Lepisosteus oculatus: one gene and its partner. The protein of the gene in region 1 purifies or fractionates together with the protein of each later gene. This does not show direct contact. Links are inferred from orthologs where the notes say so. Each region holds a gene or a part of one and is shown in the gene's direction. Other genes may lie near its edges.

Region 1 (7,659 bases):
GACACTTCTTCAGGTGTCACAGATGTCCACACCTGAAGGCTCCATAGCCAAAACATTGCATCTCTTCTTTTCCTTTCAGCCTGGCATTGACCTTTTCCTGTTTACATTAAAATACCTAGGACTGATTAAACAAAGTTATTATACTTTTGTGTCTGTGCTTAATTTGGTTTCTTGATTTAAAATATCTGGCACATCTCACACCCCCAGGAGGGACGGCTGCACCCCAGGTGAAGAAGCACTGCTAGACAGTCAGCAACAGGGAGAGACAGGCTCTTACCTCGTACGAGTCTCTGGCTTTCGCTGTGCAGCTGTTTCATGGCCTCTTTGCTGGCCCGGGCTGCTTTCCTCTCCTGACAGAGAGGAGAGGACAGAAACGCACAGGAATCAGACACCGAGCAACAGAAGCAGCGTTCTACAACAAGAACGCAAAGTTCAAAGGTCACCTCACCTTCCGCTCTGGTTGACACACCCCCTCAGCCTCCTCCTTTTCCCTCCCGGCTCTCTCCTGGGGACAGGAAAAACACGTCTGTACACAAACCTCAATCTGCCGAGACAAAGTGCTCGAGACCCGCTTGGACAATAAAATGCTGGACCCTGCTTTACAGAAGAGCATTAGACACTTTTGCCAGCACTAAAGGACTCTGTGACTAAAGTCAAACGTGCAGAAGTGAAAAGAGGTTTAACTCCTCATTTCCCCCAACACAGCAGTGCAGACAAGAGTCCTGCAGTCGCCATGTCATGACCTCTGCTCACCTTATGCTTCTTCACCTTGTTTTTCATCGCTGCTCTGATGGCATCCAGGGACTCCTCCTCTTCCTCCCCCACACCTGTGTCAAACAGGTCACTGTCTCTGAGGAGGCAGCCACTGTCATTAAAGGAGGGGGGAGCAGTGGGCTCCTAGATTAGGGAGAGAGTGAAGTGGTTGCTGTCCTAATGTTGGCCTTGTTTAGCGAATCAGCCACACACCCCACCCAAACCTCACTGATGCCCCATCCAGTTAAATCCACATTCAAACTGTGCAGTCACAGAACCGATATAAGCTTACACATCACATGACACTCATTCAGAAGTATTTTAAAATAAGCACAAAAAGTTAACATAAAAACCTGTCCAACAATCAGTGACTAGACAATTTAAGAACATGCAGTGTATTTAAAATGTTTCTGTGGACCAGGATAAATTAAGACTGCAGAACAGCCAAAGACATTCAATATTTTTGTTAACTATGAAGTCTGCTGAGCAGCTCTCCCCTGACACAGCACTGACAGCCAACCGGGCAAGCAGGACAAAGCTGGCTGGAGCACTACCTGTCTGACGCAGGCACACCTGTGCTCGCCGCCCTTCCAGGCCCAGGGCTGCATCTTCCCAGCTGCGCCCTGTACGTACCTCTTTCCTCCTGTTCCTCTTCGCTCTCGGCGCAGCCTCTGCCCTCCTCTTGTCCTTCTCCCGGCAATGCTCGGACCTCTCCTCCCGCTTCACCGTCTCCCCAGCAGGGGACTCTCCCTGTGCCTTGCCGGCCTGCCTGTCCGTCTCCGCCTCGCTGTCCTCACTGTCCCAGGCGGCCTGCGCCACCCTCCTCGTCCGCTGTCCTGTCCTCCCGCCTCCTCCCTCCTGCCTCTCCTCCTCGCTGGACTCCGACAGGGCAAGAGCCTCGGCCGGCCCCCCTCCCTCCTCGGCCTCGCTGTCGCTGTCGCTCAGGGCCGTCCTGCCGCGCGGCTTCCTCTTCACAGCCACCTCGCCGTCCGAGTCTGGAACACAAGACGTCTTTGACACGGACCTTCCGAGGCGACGCACACGAGACACTCGCTTCCGAACGGTCCGGACCATCGTCAAACTGCTCAGTTATGAGACACAGGGTAACTGTACAAATCCCCCCTGCGGAGCAGGCAGAGCCTCAGGAGGTTCAGAGTGACCCCACTGCAGAGCCCTCAGAGCTCTGTGGCGTTATACCCCCGGCCCCGCTGACCTTGGTCCTCGCTGCTCTCAGCCATCGCTGGGGCGCCCCCCGTGGGCACAGGGGGGCTCAGGTCGCAGCTGCCCTTTCCGCTGTCGGAGTCGCTCTCCTCCACGGGAAGCACGTCCGGCGCCTGGAGAGAAAACGGGTGGCCGTTACCTACGGGCACGACGGCACAGCGCAGCGTCACCACAGACGGGTCCCGAGGACGTGGGGTAGCATCTGTATCGAGCATCGCTATAGTTAGACATGATTTACTGCAGATTGACTTCACTGCAATACATCAACAGGATGGCTTACAGTTACAACACCGCACAGCTGGAGAAACCTGAACACTGACCGGCTGGCGGTGACACAGCCGAGTTCGGCTACACAAGAAAGGTTATAATCGAGCACAGCCATTCCTCCCATCTGGCCGATGGGCTTACTGCCCCTGTGATCCCATGGAAACCGCCCTGGGGGTCTGCTCTGAGCTCTGCGAGTGGAGGACAGTGCCTCCAGCCGGCAGTGCGACACTCCAGAGAAGGAGCAGCTCATATCTGCAGCAACAGCTCGGTGGGCTAACAACACCCAGCGACTGGGCCCATGATCAGACCCGAGGTCCCGACTGCTCGGAAGAAACTCGCGTCGGGCCCTGTACAGTCTGACCGCCCTGGCAGACCCCGGACTGAAACGGCAGCGCACCAGCCGAGACACAGGCCGAGTGGCGAAGCAGGAGCCCCCGCTATGAACCCCGCTCGCACGTTGAACCACCGGACCGCGAGAGCGGAGCAGCGCGCCCCCCAGCGGCCGGGCCGGGAGCCAGCCGAGGCGGCAGAGAGCCGCTGCCACGAAAAGCTCAGCAACCAAAACAAACCGCAGACTTTCCTCCCGAGGCCCGGAGAACACACCCCGGGTCAGACGGCTCGGTTCCGCTGGCGGTGCTGCTGCGGCCCGTCCAGCCCGCCCGGACCCAGCCCTCTCGGAGGCCGGACAGCCGCACAGCAGCACACAGCCCCCCCAGAGCACGAACCGCGGGTCTTTACGAACACTTCGCCACCGTGACTAAAACAGCACAAACCTGCTGGGACACGGCCGCACTCATGGCGACGGGCTCTTTTCCGCTTACACTCGACAACACAGACTCATGAAAACGCACGCAAGGCCACGTCCACTTTCTCGCCCTCCTTGACAAACTATTTAAACAGTTAAAATAAACCAGATAAACAGATGAGATCTAATCCGCAACAGTAACAACTCGTAGCTGCCCGCCTGCTTCTCCCTCCCGCGCGCTCTCTCAGAAAGGACTTTCAACCGCTCGCGCGCCCAGGGCGCCATCCCGCCCCTCGCCCCCTCCTCTCCCTCCTGACTGGGCTGTCGGCCGTCAATCCCGCCTCGCACCCGCCCACCTCGGCAGACTTATTCCACCTCGGGGGCTGCCGACGCTCCCAGCCACGCCTCACGCAAGTGACGGACAGCAGCAGGGACCAATAGCGAGTCGCAGTGCACTCGGGGGTCTGATTGGAAAGCTTGGTTTTGTGTAGTTTTTCTTGGAATCACAAATACAGTAATGCTAAAGAACTGTGAATTAAATAAAAATATTCTCTTTCTAAAATAAAGCAAAAATAAGCAATCACCTTATTTTAAATAAAAATATAGATGTGAATTTTATCCCCCCCCTCACTTTGTATTGGGTAAGCTTAACGGTAGCTCACAATATTTATTGCAGTTTTGTTAAAACAATACTCAGCCCCTTTGATTCCGGATACTCTGAGACAAAACAGGATTTCAACGTTGCCCTGAAACTGAACCTCATTAAAATGTAAACAGCGCTGAAACTTTTAACTATTTGTACTAAATGACCACCGACTGCGTGACAATACGGTGGTTTTAAAGTAATTTATAAGAATAAAAAGCATGTCATATTTTTTCAATTTAATTTAAAAATCTTTTCTGGCAGACGCCCTTAATTTGTACATTACAATGAGGATTAAATAAATAAGAAGTGCAAATTATACTTTATAAACCTGCTGGTTTTACCTGAGCTGCTGTGGGACAGGGCTGCAGCTACAGGACGGCTGTTGCAGAGCAGAGCAAACAGCCACGTTAACAGGAGTAAAACAATACAGATCACTGACGAATGTGACGATTTCACAGACACCCACACATTTTGGAACCTGAATGAAAAGTATAAGCTGTAGCATGATACACTCCGTTTTCTCCCTGTGCTCCCCAGATGCATGTCGATATAAACGCGTTTTCTCCTCTGTGACTCCCCGGACCCCAGCACGCTGAGCAGCCCAGGCTCTGACAGAGCTCCGCACAAGAGATACTGTGAGCGCGGGACAAGGCTTTTCAACGGCGTTGGTAAAAACGGAGCTGAAATGCTGCCAGTTTACGGAGATGTCAGACCTTTCAATTAACTGCGCTGCCCCCTCTAGCGGCCGGTATGATAACTTCCTGCTTCCTCCCTGGTAGAATTATTTATAAAAACCGCGGGTAAACCGCTGACAGGCTAACCAAAGCCTCATCCAACGGGAGACGAATTCTCCATGTACTATGCTGCCCAAATAGATGTCGATAACCAAACCCCCGGGAGTCCACAGCCGCCTGTGCTGCCCGTCTCCGTGCGCTCAGTTTAAATCCCCGGACGGCGCAGGCGCACAGCAGGGGCAGCGCTCGGCGCGCAGGCGCACTGCCGCACTCCCCGGATCCGCTTTAAACCGAGCGGCGACAGCGGACCTCAGTTTCTCAGAGTGGACCCTCTCAGCTTCGCGATACCGCCCCCAATCTCAGTGTCGGTACGGAGCCGCCAGGCCGGGACAGAGACGGAGAGAGAGCCCTCGGCCATGGAAGCGCTCGGACCCGGTGAGAAGAGGCGCTGGCAGGCCCGGCAGGGCAGGAGCGGGGGGCCCGGGTCGCTCGCTCACTGGGGGCCGGGGATTGCGAGGCCTCCGCGGGCGATCGGGAAGACGGAAGGAAGAGCGAGGTCGGGAGGTTAACCACACGGCACGGGGTGTTGCCTGCAGGGCTCTGTCCCTCACGGAGGGCTGGTGTCCGGTGTGGCCGTGTGCCGCAGCCCCGGGTCGCGCTTGGAGCGAAACGTCAGGAGCGCCTTTCCGCGTCTTCCGCGTCTGTTGTTGTTGTCGTGCTCAGCCTGCGGGCTGCGGCGGGTCCGAGAGCGAAGGCGGCGGAGCTTCGTGTCGGTTTGCGAGAGCGGATTTCAGCTTCTCTGTCCGTCTGGTTTCGTCCACCACGGTGGAGCCCGGAGCCTCGGTCCCTGTGCTTGCAGCTGTCCCGGAGCTCTGCGTGATCCAGCTGTCGGGTGTCTGTCGCTCGCTGCCGGCCGGAGCGGTGGCACAGTCCGGTCTCTCTGCTCGCTGACCAGCACGTTTACGGCGTCTTTGCGGTGTCTGTATCGGGATGTGCAGCCTCACCGAAGCCCGAGTGGGGTTTAAACTACGGGAAAGTGCGGTTTATGTGCCTCTGCGTGGAATAATCCTCTTATTGATGTATGTAGAAATCCCCGATAATGTTAGGAAGAATTTTAAAAGTAGTTTACCTAATATATGTATCAATAAGTACGAAAGTGATTTAATAGCTTAAGTGTTTTAAATTGTTGTTTAACTCAAAGCTATTGTACCTTTTAAAATAAGTTATCCGGGGTAAAAAATGCTTCCCACATGGGAATTGTGGTACATAAAAGGGCAGTGGCTGGGATTCTGGTGTCCTGCAAATGTGTACAGTCGGTGTTTTTTCAGGATTTGCTTGTAATTCATAAGAAGGGCACTATCTGTGGACTAGTAACCCCTTGTCTTCTGGAGTAAAGATTCTTTCCTGGGCCAGGCAATGGAAGTATTATTATTATTCCTGTATATAGCAGACCCCTTCATTCAGTGTGAATGGCAAACTGGAAAGTTTACTTGTTAATACGAGGAACAGTCGTGCAGCTGCGTGTCCAGTCTGCTCCTCTCCTGACGGGCGAAGGCAGCCGTAGGGGTGAAACTGCACAGGCTCTGGGGATGCAGGGTGGTAACTTATGCACCTACTGGGTGCTTACAGCTTGTCTGCAGTGATTAAATGCAGTTGGTACGTTGCATTACTATTTTGAGAATTAAGCCCTTGTAGTTCAGTCCCCATGTCTGTATAGCATGCATCATCACAATGGGTCTTGGAGAGCTGGGGTGCTGCATCGCCCTGTAGACACAGAACAGCAGCAGCCCCCTTACGCAGCAGAGCAGGGGCAGAGAGAAACTGGGAACCAGTGGGGAGGTTAGGTTGTCTGAGCCCAGTTTGGGATTAACACCCTTACAGACAGCCTCGGGACCCATGTAGATTTTGGCTTAACTCTTGCTGAAGGGAGGGCACCTCATGCAAAGGTGATGAGGGGCTGAGGGGAAAGGGAGGCTGGCGCCTGGGATCTGGTAGAGAAGAGATGCATGGGGTCTGCTGGAAGAAGAGCATCGAGTCCAGGAGGAGGTGAAAGGCATATAAATAGTGAACATGAGAAACTCTGCGTCCTTCGCGTTGAGTGTGAAAGACCATGACAGGAGGTGAGGACCTGGGGAATGAGTGTAGAGAGGAGAGCGGAGACCCAGGACAGAATCCCAGGATCCACAGGGAGCGCACCGGTGGACAGAGCGAGTCCAGCCAGGGCTGTAGATCCCCACGGATCCGCAGGGAGCTCTCTGACCCGCCTGGACATGCCTTGATTTACAGGTTCATAGGACAGGGCTAGGCTGCTCTGTGTAGCCTTATTCTATGACCTGTGCGGTGTTGCTGCTGAGCTCTTGATATCCTCAGACATCCTGCAGCTCTTTCACTCTCGGTGTTGTCTTTTCCTTGTGGCAGGCAGGGCCTCTGTCCTGTCGCAAATTCGTCATTAATCCCATCTGCCTTGCAGGTGTTCTTAAACCCCTCTTTCCAGTCTGATTATTGACTGATCACTGCCAAGACATTGACTCCTCAGTGCAAAACACCTGTTCCCACCAGTACCTTCACACAGGTACATTCACGTGCTTTGATGGATATGTTGTTAAAAATCCATAAATGATGTTTTTCACTCATGAGCTGTGATAACATTAGGTTGGTGCTGTATTTATGAATAGAATGCTTTTGAAAGTTAAGGATGAAGTGTTCTAACCCTTCATGAACACAGTCTGAAGTGTCTTGCTTCTGTGCTGCTTTGCTGGCTGTTCTGTTCTTGATTGATTCTTCCACCTCTTGATTTGCACATCAAACTGGCCAAGTATTGAGTTGGATAATAGGGGATGGGAATACGTTTGGCCCAGTTTGAGTCCTGCTTCCACAGAATTATCATTTGAATGTTATCACGTCTAGAGTTTTCTGTACTGTAACCTTCTGTAGATTATACACCAGCATTGTAAATGACAAAGCGCTGCTCAACTACCACCCGAGAGCAGGGAGATGCTGCTGTAAGAGAGGTGAAAGTGTGGAAGAGCCAGGAGGCAGAGGAGCTGCCTCTCTGCCCGTCCGTTCAGGGAAACCAGACCCTGGATCATTCAGGGCAGCTGGGGCCCAGAGTATCAGGCCAGGTGGCCTTTGACCTGTAGATTGTTACAGTAAGACCAGGACCGCAGGTTAGCAATGTGGCTTCTTCCGGTGTTCGTCTGCCTTAGTTAAGGGTAAAGAACTGATTTTTTTCTACTTTGGGCAAACTGCCCATTGGACCCCTTTTCGAACGAAGACGCTGACCTGTTTCCTCT
Region 2 (7,119 bases), on another chromosome or scaffold:
CACTTTGACTAAGGCCGGAACAGGGCCCTTGAAGGCTCCTAGTTCGCTATGTTTTCTCTGGGACAGGCTGGTCTGGAGTGAGGGAGTTTCCAGAGAAAAGGGTGACCTCTGGGGAAAAAACAAAGAGATTTTATCTGGTCTCGGTTTGTTTGCAGCACCCCCTGCTGTAATTACATATGGACCTTTTAAAAAATGGATGAACGTCGCTCACTGCAGATAGTTATATTAATTTTTTAGCCAAATTTATTTAAGATTGTATAGCAAGGAATGGTAGTGTAGTACTTACAAATGAACTACCTTGCTCAAGGGTACAATTCTAAAGCCCTTACCACTGCCCAAATTGACCAAATGTATTAGCAAACCCCAGCTACTGGGAACATTTGTTTTCTTTTCAGTCTTCTCTGCACACGAACGTGCAATTTGTACAAATTTCTATTTATTTGTGACGGACCCTTCCCTTACCTAAGGCCACCCCAGGGATCTGCACGTATAAAAATGTCACAATAATGAAAAACAAGCACAGGCAACTTTATTATATTTTCAAGGCTTATAACAAAAAGAATGTAAAAAAGAACCAGCTCTATGCATACCCTTTAAATACTTCAAAAAGAACCCTGTTAAAACTCATGTGAGAATGTGCACATGTATTTTCTACCAGTAATTTGATTAATTATTGCCAGTGTGTCTATTCACAACAATTAGAGGCAGGTTTGGCATTCTCTAGTGTCTGGTTAGCTGTAATTGTAGATTTTTAAAGTCGATTTTTTTAAAATCTAAACAGAACTGAGCGTTTTCTTTTGGTATTAAGTTGAAAAAGTCTCATCTTTAAGAAGCTGGATTTGTTCTTCATTTTTTAAAGGAAGTGAAGAAGTCAAGAGCGAAGGAAATGTGGAGCTAAACACAAACTTTTCTGTGAGGTGAATTACCCCGCAGCCCGGAGCTCTGCTGTAAAGAGAGCTGACACACTGCTTCCTCAGTGCTCTCGTGGCATGCTTTCACATACCAGATCAGTCGAAGACCATATTAAATTACATCGACGGGAGTATTTACTCTGTGGCAGAACTTCCCTTGAAATATCTTGAGGTCACCGATTAAAAAGACAGTCAGCACGGAACAAGGCGATGAAAACAAACAAAACGCGTGGATCGCACTCTGTCGGGCGTGTTTTTCCTGTATTATTTTTCGGCTGTTGTTTCAAGCACTTTATAAAGAGCGCCAGGCCACATTTGGGCTGATATAATTTATGCCGGCACTGTTTTAATTACACAGTCGTGTCGTTTGTTTAGAAATTCCCATTACTGATGTCAAGTTGTGTTCATTATTCACTCAGGGCTTCGTAGCCCAGCTATTGTTCAGCGAGTGTTTTCCTCCAGACAGTCTGTGAAGCCGACCCCCACTGAAAAGCCCATTCCCTTGAATTAATCACAAGATGATATAGTTGGTGCCAGCTCTTTTTTAAGCCATTGATATAAAAGAGCTATTTGATTTAATTGGTATTTAAATGTACTCCAGATGAATGCCCACACTTCTACTGCTGTAAGTGGGAACACAGCTGTTTGTAATGAGCAAAATATGATTGTTATAACTGGGAGGGGGGGATACCTGGAACTCGTCAGACAGGGACAGACATGGCCTTGCTCTTTCTTCTAGATCCTGGCGGGTGTAACTCTTTTTCTGCCGCACACTTGAGATCTAGGAACACTGGGATTTCCACTTTGTCCTCTGTCTTGTCTATAGTTGCATCTGTTCAGGGAAAAGTAAAAGGTTTTGTTTATTCACCCGATGTTTCTGAGGAATGATGAGGTGCCAGGAATGGATTCTTGATGATTATGGACTTGTACATAAGGGACAAAAGTCTGTTTCTGTATACTGGTGGATCCCACCCCCATTAGATTGCTGAAGCCTTCATTGATCTAAGACGATCTAGGATCTATGATCTAAGATCCATTTGAATGTTTGCAGTCCACGTTTGGATTTTATTTCACTTAAAAAATAGATCATGTTTAAGAGCTGGGAACAAACAGTTCAACTTAATCTTATTATTCTTGGTAAAGCTCGTGAAAGGGTTTGATTGTGTAACTGAGAGCTCCATTGGAACAAAACGTGTGCAGACGTTTTTATGTGGGTGGCCAGCCCTTTCTTTGTGGGAACCCGTACTCTCAAGATTTTACTGGGTATCACTAAATTGTCAACCGGATAAGTACCCTGGAACAGAGAGCAATTTTGACCAGTTCTGCCCAATAATTGAATTAAAAGCTTGGATGGAATAAAACTCCATGTCCAGGGGCGACCAGTGCTTATTCTTGCAAACCGATATTGTGTGTGGGCATGATTGTAAGGTGAAAATTGTAGAAATATTGTATCTTTCACACGATGCATACTACATTGGTATCAACAATAAACCTTAGCTGAAAGAAATGGCCTTTTTCTGACTGAGGTGTAAGGATATATTTTTGTGTGTAGTGAACTCAGATTGTGGCTGGCTGAATAACACACAGGATATCTAATTTATACGAGCTCTGGAGGACTGAATGATGGGCGATTTGTCCCTCAGTACAACTAGAACAAGTTCTGTGTTTGGCAAGCCAAGTGTCCAAGTCAAGACTTGTGTCCAAGTATCTATTGCTTGTCTGTTGTGCCTTCTGTCAGACATCCATGCCATTACAATGTTATAAAAGGGTGTTATGCTTTAGATTGCTTTAGAGCTTTGTTTTTTGCATTCATTTAATTAATTTAGGAATCAAAAGATTGAATTAAGGTAAAACATAATTACATGATTTTGAGGTTCCTGAATGGTTTCATTAAATAGTGCAGGATGTCCTAGAAAAGTGCTTTAGGTCAAGATATTGAAGAGCATTTTAGAGACTGAAGGTGACTCTGGGTCAGGTTTCAGTTACATGTAGTAGTTTATTGTTACACGTACTAAATATATAGTATCGTCACTAGTTCTAAGCATTTAAGATAACCTTTTTTCCATAATTAACAATGATATAATATATAATGGAAAATATACACTATTAGCACAAAAGTTTAAAATAATCCAGTTGTGTTGAATTTTTTTATGAGAAATGTGAGTTCAGCGTTAGAGGTAAGATTATTTTAATTTGCTTAAAAATAACTCAACAACATAACTCAATAGATGTAATAGTATTTTCTAAGAGATTGAAGCCCTGTGCATAATGTTCATAATGAAATGATACTTCTCCCTATGATGATCTGAATGTTATTAAAGGACCAAATCTTTGCCAAAGATCTGGGGAATAAGATACTATTTATCCAAAGCCCCGTAGTGTATAATGGTATATATTTCCTCTTTGAGATTGTAAAGAAAACATAGTATGAACCATCCATGTCATTAATATGTTTGCAGAATATTATAACTTAAATAATATTCTAATTTCTCATAAAATTTAGTAATTATGTTTTTATGATATACATTATATAGATCATTTTTCTCCAAATAATATTCATTTATTCTTTCTTGCAGCCTGCAGTCGTTCCATGAAAGATTATATCTTTTGGAATTTTGTATGGTTTGAATATCTTTATGCAAAATTCTTTAAAAAATATTTTCTAGGTGATGCCAGAAATAAAATAAAATTCCTACCTTATATGAGTGGTAAATGTAGTGATCTAAACTTAAAGGAAACTGAGTGAATCAACAGCCGTGCGCGTTCAACTTAAAAGAAGGCAGCGTTGTTCCTGCGCATTCATAGTAAATTAACATTGCGAAAACAAAGTTCTGCTCTTGGCTGTCACCTGTCCCAGTTTCCAGATTTTCCAAGGGCACAAGGTGGAGGTTTTAACAAAAATTAAGCTGAGTGTTAGATTTGACTCGTGAAATAACGTGGACTTTCGAGTGTTAATAAACTCATTCGAATAACATTTTTTTTTTCTCAGTCGTGGCTCTCAAAAAAATAAAAGAACACCCCCAAAAAAGGAGACCCGTCCTGTGAAAACCAGCGGCGTTTTTTCGTGAAGGCTGGGGGCTCGCTTCCTCGGGCGGCATCCTTTCGGAAACCCGAGGCGTCCTCCTCGTCGGAAGCTACGTTTACCCCCCAATCCGTGTGCCGACATTTTAATTCGCCTCCAATCTCCCCCCTTCCGCCATGTCTGGTTCCTCTCTCCCTGCGTGTGCTGAGTGTGCTGGTCTGCAAAAGGCTGCTGCCACGCGCTTTGCTCTGGCATTCCTCTGTGCTGCGTGCCAGGTAAGGAGAGATCCGCGCCCGTCCGCTCCGCTCCGCGCCGCGCCGGGCTACGGGACGGGCGCCTGCCTTTATTTCGGGGGGTTCGTCGTCCTGCGGCTGGTACTGTTGAAAGGGCTGCAGATGAACGGAGCTGGGGTGGGGGGAGGAGAGGGGAAAAATAAAGGCAGGCATGCCAGTCTGCCAGTAGGTACAGATGCTGCGTAGTCTGTGCTCGTCCTTGAAGGCTGTCCAAGAGCTGGCTCAGGGCGCCGGAGGGGTGGCAGGGTTCCAGCCTCATCTCTCTCTCCCCCTCTCTCGCACGCTCCGTCTCTCTCCCTTTTTTGTTTTTTGTTTGCGTTTTGTCCGGCGGGCTGCGCGCAAACTGTCCCGTGTGCTCCTCGTCCTGTCAAGGGTGCCCCGCGACAGCCCGGGGCCGACGGGCGACCGACGAGGGGGTTGGCATGCTTTCCGTCCTCCCAGCCAGCGCCATTTGCCTTCACCTCCACCTGTCGGGTTGCAGGGGAGTTGGGGGGGGGAGGCATTGTCCCCCCTCACTCCTCCTCCTCCTCCTCATCCTCCACTTTTGTTGTGTTATTTTTTGTCACGAAAGCCGAGCGGCGGATGGCACCGTGCGGGGCTGCAGTGCTCGGCTGTGTGACGTCATGGCTGTCTGGCCAGCAGCGAACACGCTTTGCAGCGTGCAGGTTGCAGAGCATTTACTGCAGAGCCTGTGACCTGTTTTTCTTTCCCTGTGCAGCAGAAGAGGTTTTTTTGGGAGAGTGGGGGGGGTTTGTTGTTGCTTTGGTTGGTTATTTCCTCACGTCATAAATCCCGATTCATATCGCAGTAGTACCAGCTTAACCAGTGCCAGGTCGCAACAAAAGGGGGGGGGGGTGGGAAACCGAACAGAACAGTTTAGTCCTCTTTTCATTCCCCTTTTCTTTTTTGCCATCCATTATTTCGGTCCTCCTCCGTCCTGAATGGAAATTTCTCAGAGAAGTCGATCAGTGCCTGCTCATTTGAGAGGTAAATGAGAGCTGATTATTTAGTATCGGATGCATTATGTGTTTCGTACCAAAAAAAAAAAGAGAGAAAATCCTGTGGTTTTGATTTGTATGAATTCCACTGTTGCGGCATTGCATCTAGCCCGGGCTGCTATCTGAGGAGCTCTGAGGGCTGGGATGGTGCACAAAGGGAGAGCCAGAGAGGGTGGAAAGGACATTGCTGTAAGAAAACCTTGGCATCTTTTCTGGCATTGCTTTCGTTATTTATTTTTAAACCGTTGTCCCCCCCCCCTCTCCTTGCGCTTTTTGCCTTTATCCTTTGTTGCCCTTCGTTTGCAGCCGGCTGGAGTTTTTGTTTTGCGTTTTTTTCTTCTTCTCCTTCTCAGTCTGAGCTTCGTCCCCTTTTGTGAGAACGTTGTTTGGTACTGTCGCCGAGGCTGTGTGCCAAGTCTGTCTAATTAAGATTAAGCATATGCAGATTTGCCTTGTTTTCAGCTAATGACAGCTGCAAACAATTATTTGTCATGCTTGCTGATTGTTGATTGGTGAAAGGATAGCCATGAGAGGATTCTCAGCTTTCTCAGGGTGTGCGTGTGTCGGTGTATGTGTGTGTGTGTGTTGGTCTCGGTAAGTTTCGAGATGCTGTTTGTCTAGACAGACGTGGCCGGCGTAAATTTCTTTCATTTCGCCGTCTTCTCGTGATATCTTGAAACAAAAGAAGCAGTGGGAGAAAATTCTTGCGAAAGCAGAGGGGTTCATGCCTGCCTGCCTGTGTGGATGCTTGTGTTTCTCTGCTGCGGTGGGCTTCTTGGCATTGGGGGCCAATGTATAGGTTTTGTTCTTAGTGTGCCAAAAGGAGGATGATGGGGGGGGGGGGCATTGCGGCGGCCCTTCGTGCTCCTGAACGCCAGCGGGGTTAGTGATTCTATAGGGTCGCTTGTTTGTTTCCGTTTTGCGATTTCCATGTTGCCTCTGGGTTTTCATTTGTTTTGGGGGGTTCTTGCTATACAGCCACCGTGTAGGAACAATATGGGGGGAACAGCTAGCTCCTCGTTCAGCCTTCACAAGCTCATTGCGCAGTTAAAGGGAAGGCGTTGCAGCAGGCAGGGCTCTGGCTTCGCAGTCTTGTCCACGAAGCCCTCTTTGGCTCTGCAGCAGAGATCTGGTGCTCCCCTCTTCACAGCCTGGCACCACAGAGGCAGCTCTGATGAACCCTGTCTGGCCACGGAAGCTGAGAATCGGTCCGAGACAAATGCCTGCTCTCAGCTGGGCAGATGAGACTTTGTGACTTGTGGATCTGTTGATTTAAGAACATTTACAAGCGCTTCAGTCACAATCCAGATCCTCCCCACCTCCTGTCCGTTTGAAATGTTTTTGTTTTCTGGGTTTTGATGTAACAGAAGAGTGGGGCAGTGGTCTTGTCAAGGAAATACCAGGTACCAACCATGCTTGGAGGGTGAAAGACTTAAGCTGCGTTTCACAAAAATACTGTCTTTGTCATTAAAATTGCAGTTACTTATACAGGTATGAATCTGTCAGCACTATTGTGCAGGTGCATATAAATGTCTTTTTTTATGATTTGAATTATTAACACATTGTTTACCAGGAAAGTCTGGTGTGTGCAGGTGTGCATTGATCTTCAACTGGGTTTGCACTTTTAAATTGTCCATCAAGAAATGCAGTATGCTCTGGTGTGGAGAAACCTGTGTTTTACCTGGGAGCATTTCCCTGCCATCCTGGAACCAGTATTATATGAACGTCAGAGAGGCTGCACACGAGAGGAGGCTGTTTGCCCCATTGTGCTCATTTGGTTTTAAATCACGTAAGCGAAGATTTCCTCCAGACAGCAGTTCATGAAGGGGCAGTTCCTGATGGAGTTTGGGCTTCAGCCACCACACCTAACTAGAAGTCTGTCTAGGATTCGCACA

Evidence for each region. Proteins that work in one complex are often made in the same cells at the same time.
Region 2: the proteins of ago4 (region 1) and trinucleotide repeat-containing gene 6A protein purify together in Homo sapiens (co-immunoprecipitation; 4 studies listed by BioGRID and IntAct, with this or other methods). This does not show direct contact. The link is inferred for Lepisosteus oculatus from reciprocal best matches to the Homo sapiens genes AGO4 and TNRC6A.

The regions. Positions count from the first base shown.
Region 1 is NC_090706.1:162,886-170,544, reverse strand, and holds the start of ago4 (protein argonaute-4), read left to right. Parts: upstream 1-4,638; 5' UTR 4,639-4,782; coding exon 4,783-4,801; intron 4,802-7,659. Other genes in the region: claspin, read right to left, coding at 278-350, 449-505, 754-897, 1,387-1,748, 1,967-2,087, 3,015-3,038.
Region 2 is NC_090714.1:11,923,378-11,930,496, forward strand, and holds the start of trinucleotide repeat-containing gene 6A protein, read left to right. Parts: upstream 1-4,109; coding exon 4,110-4,208; intron 4,209-7,119.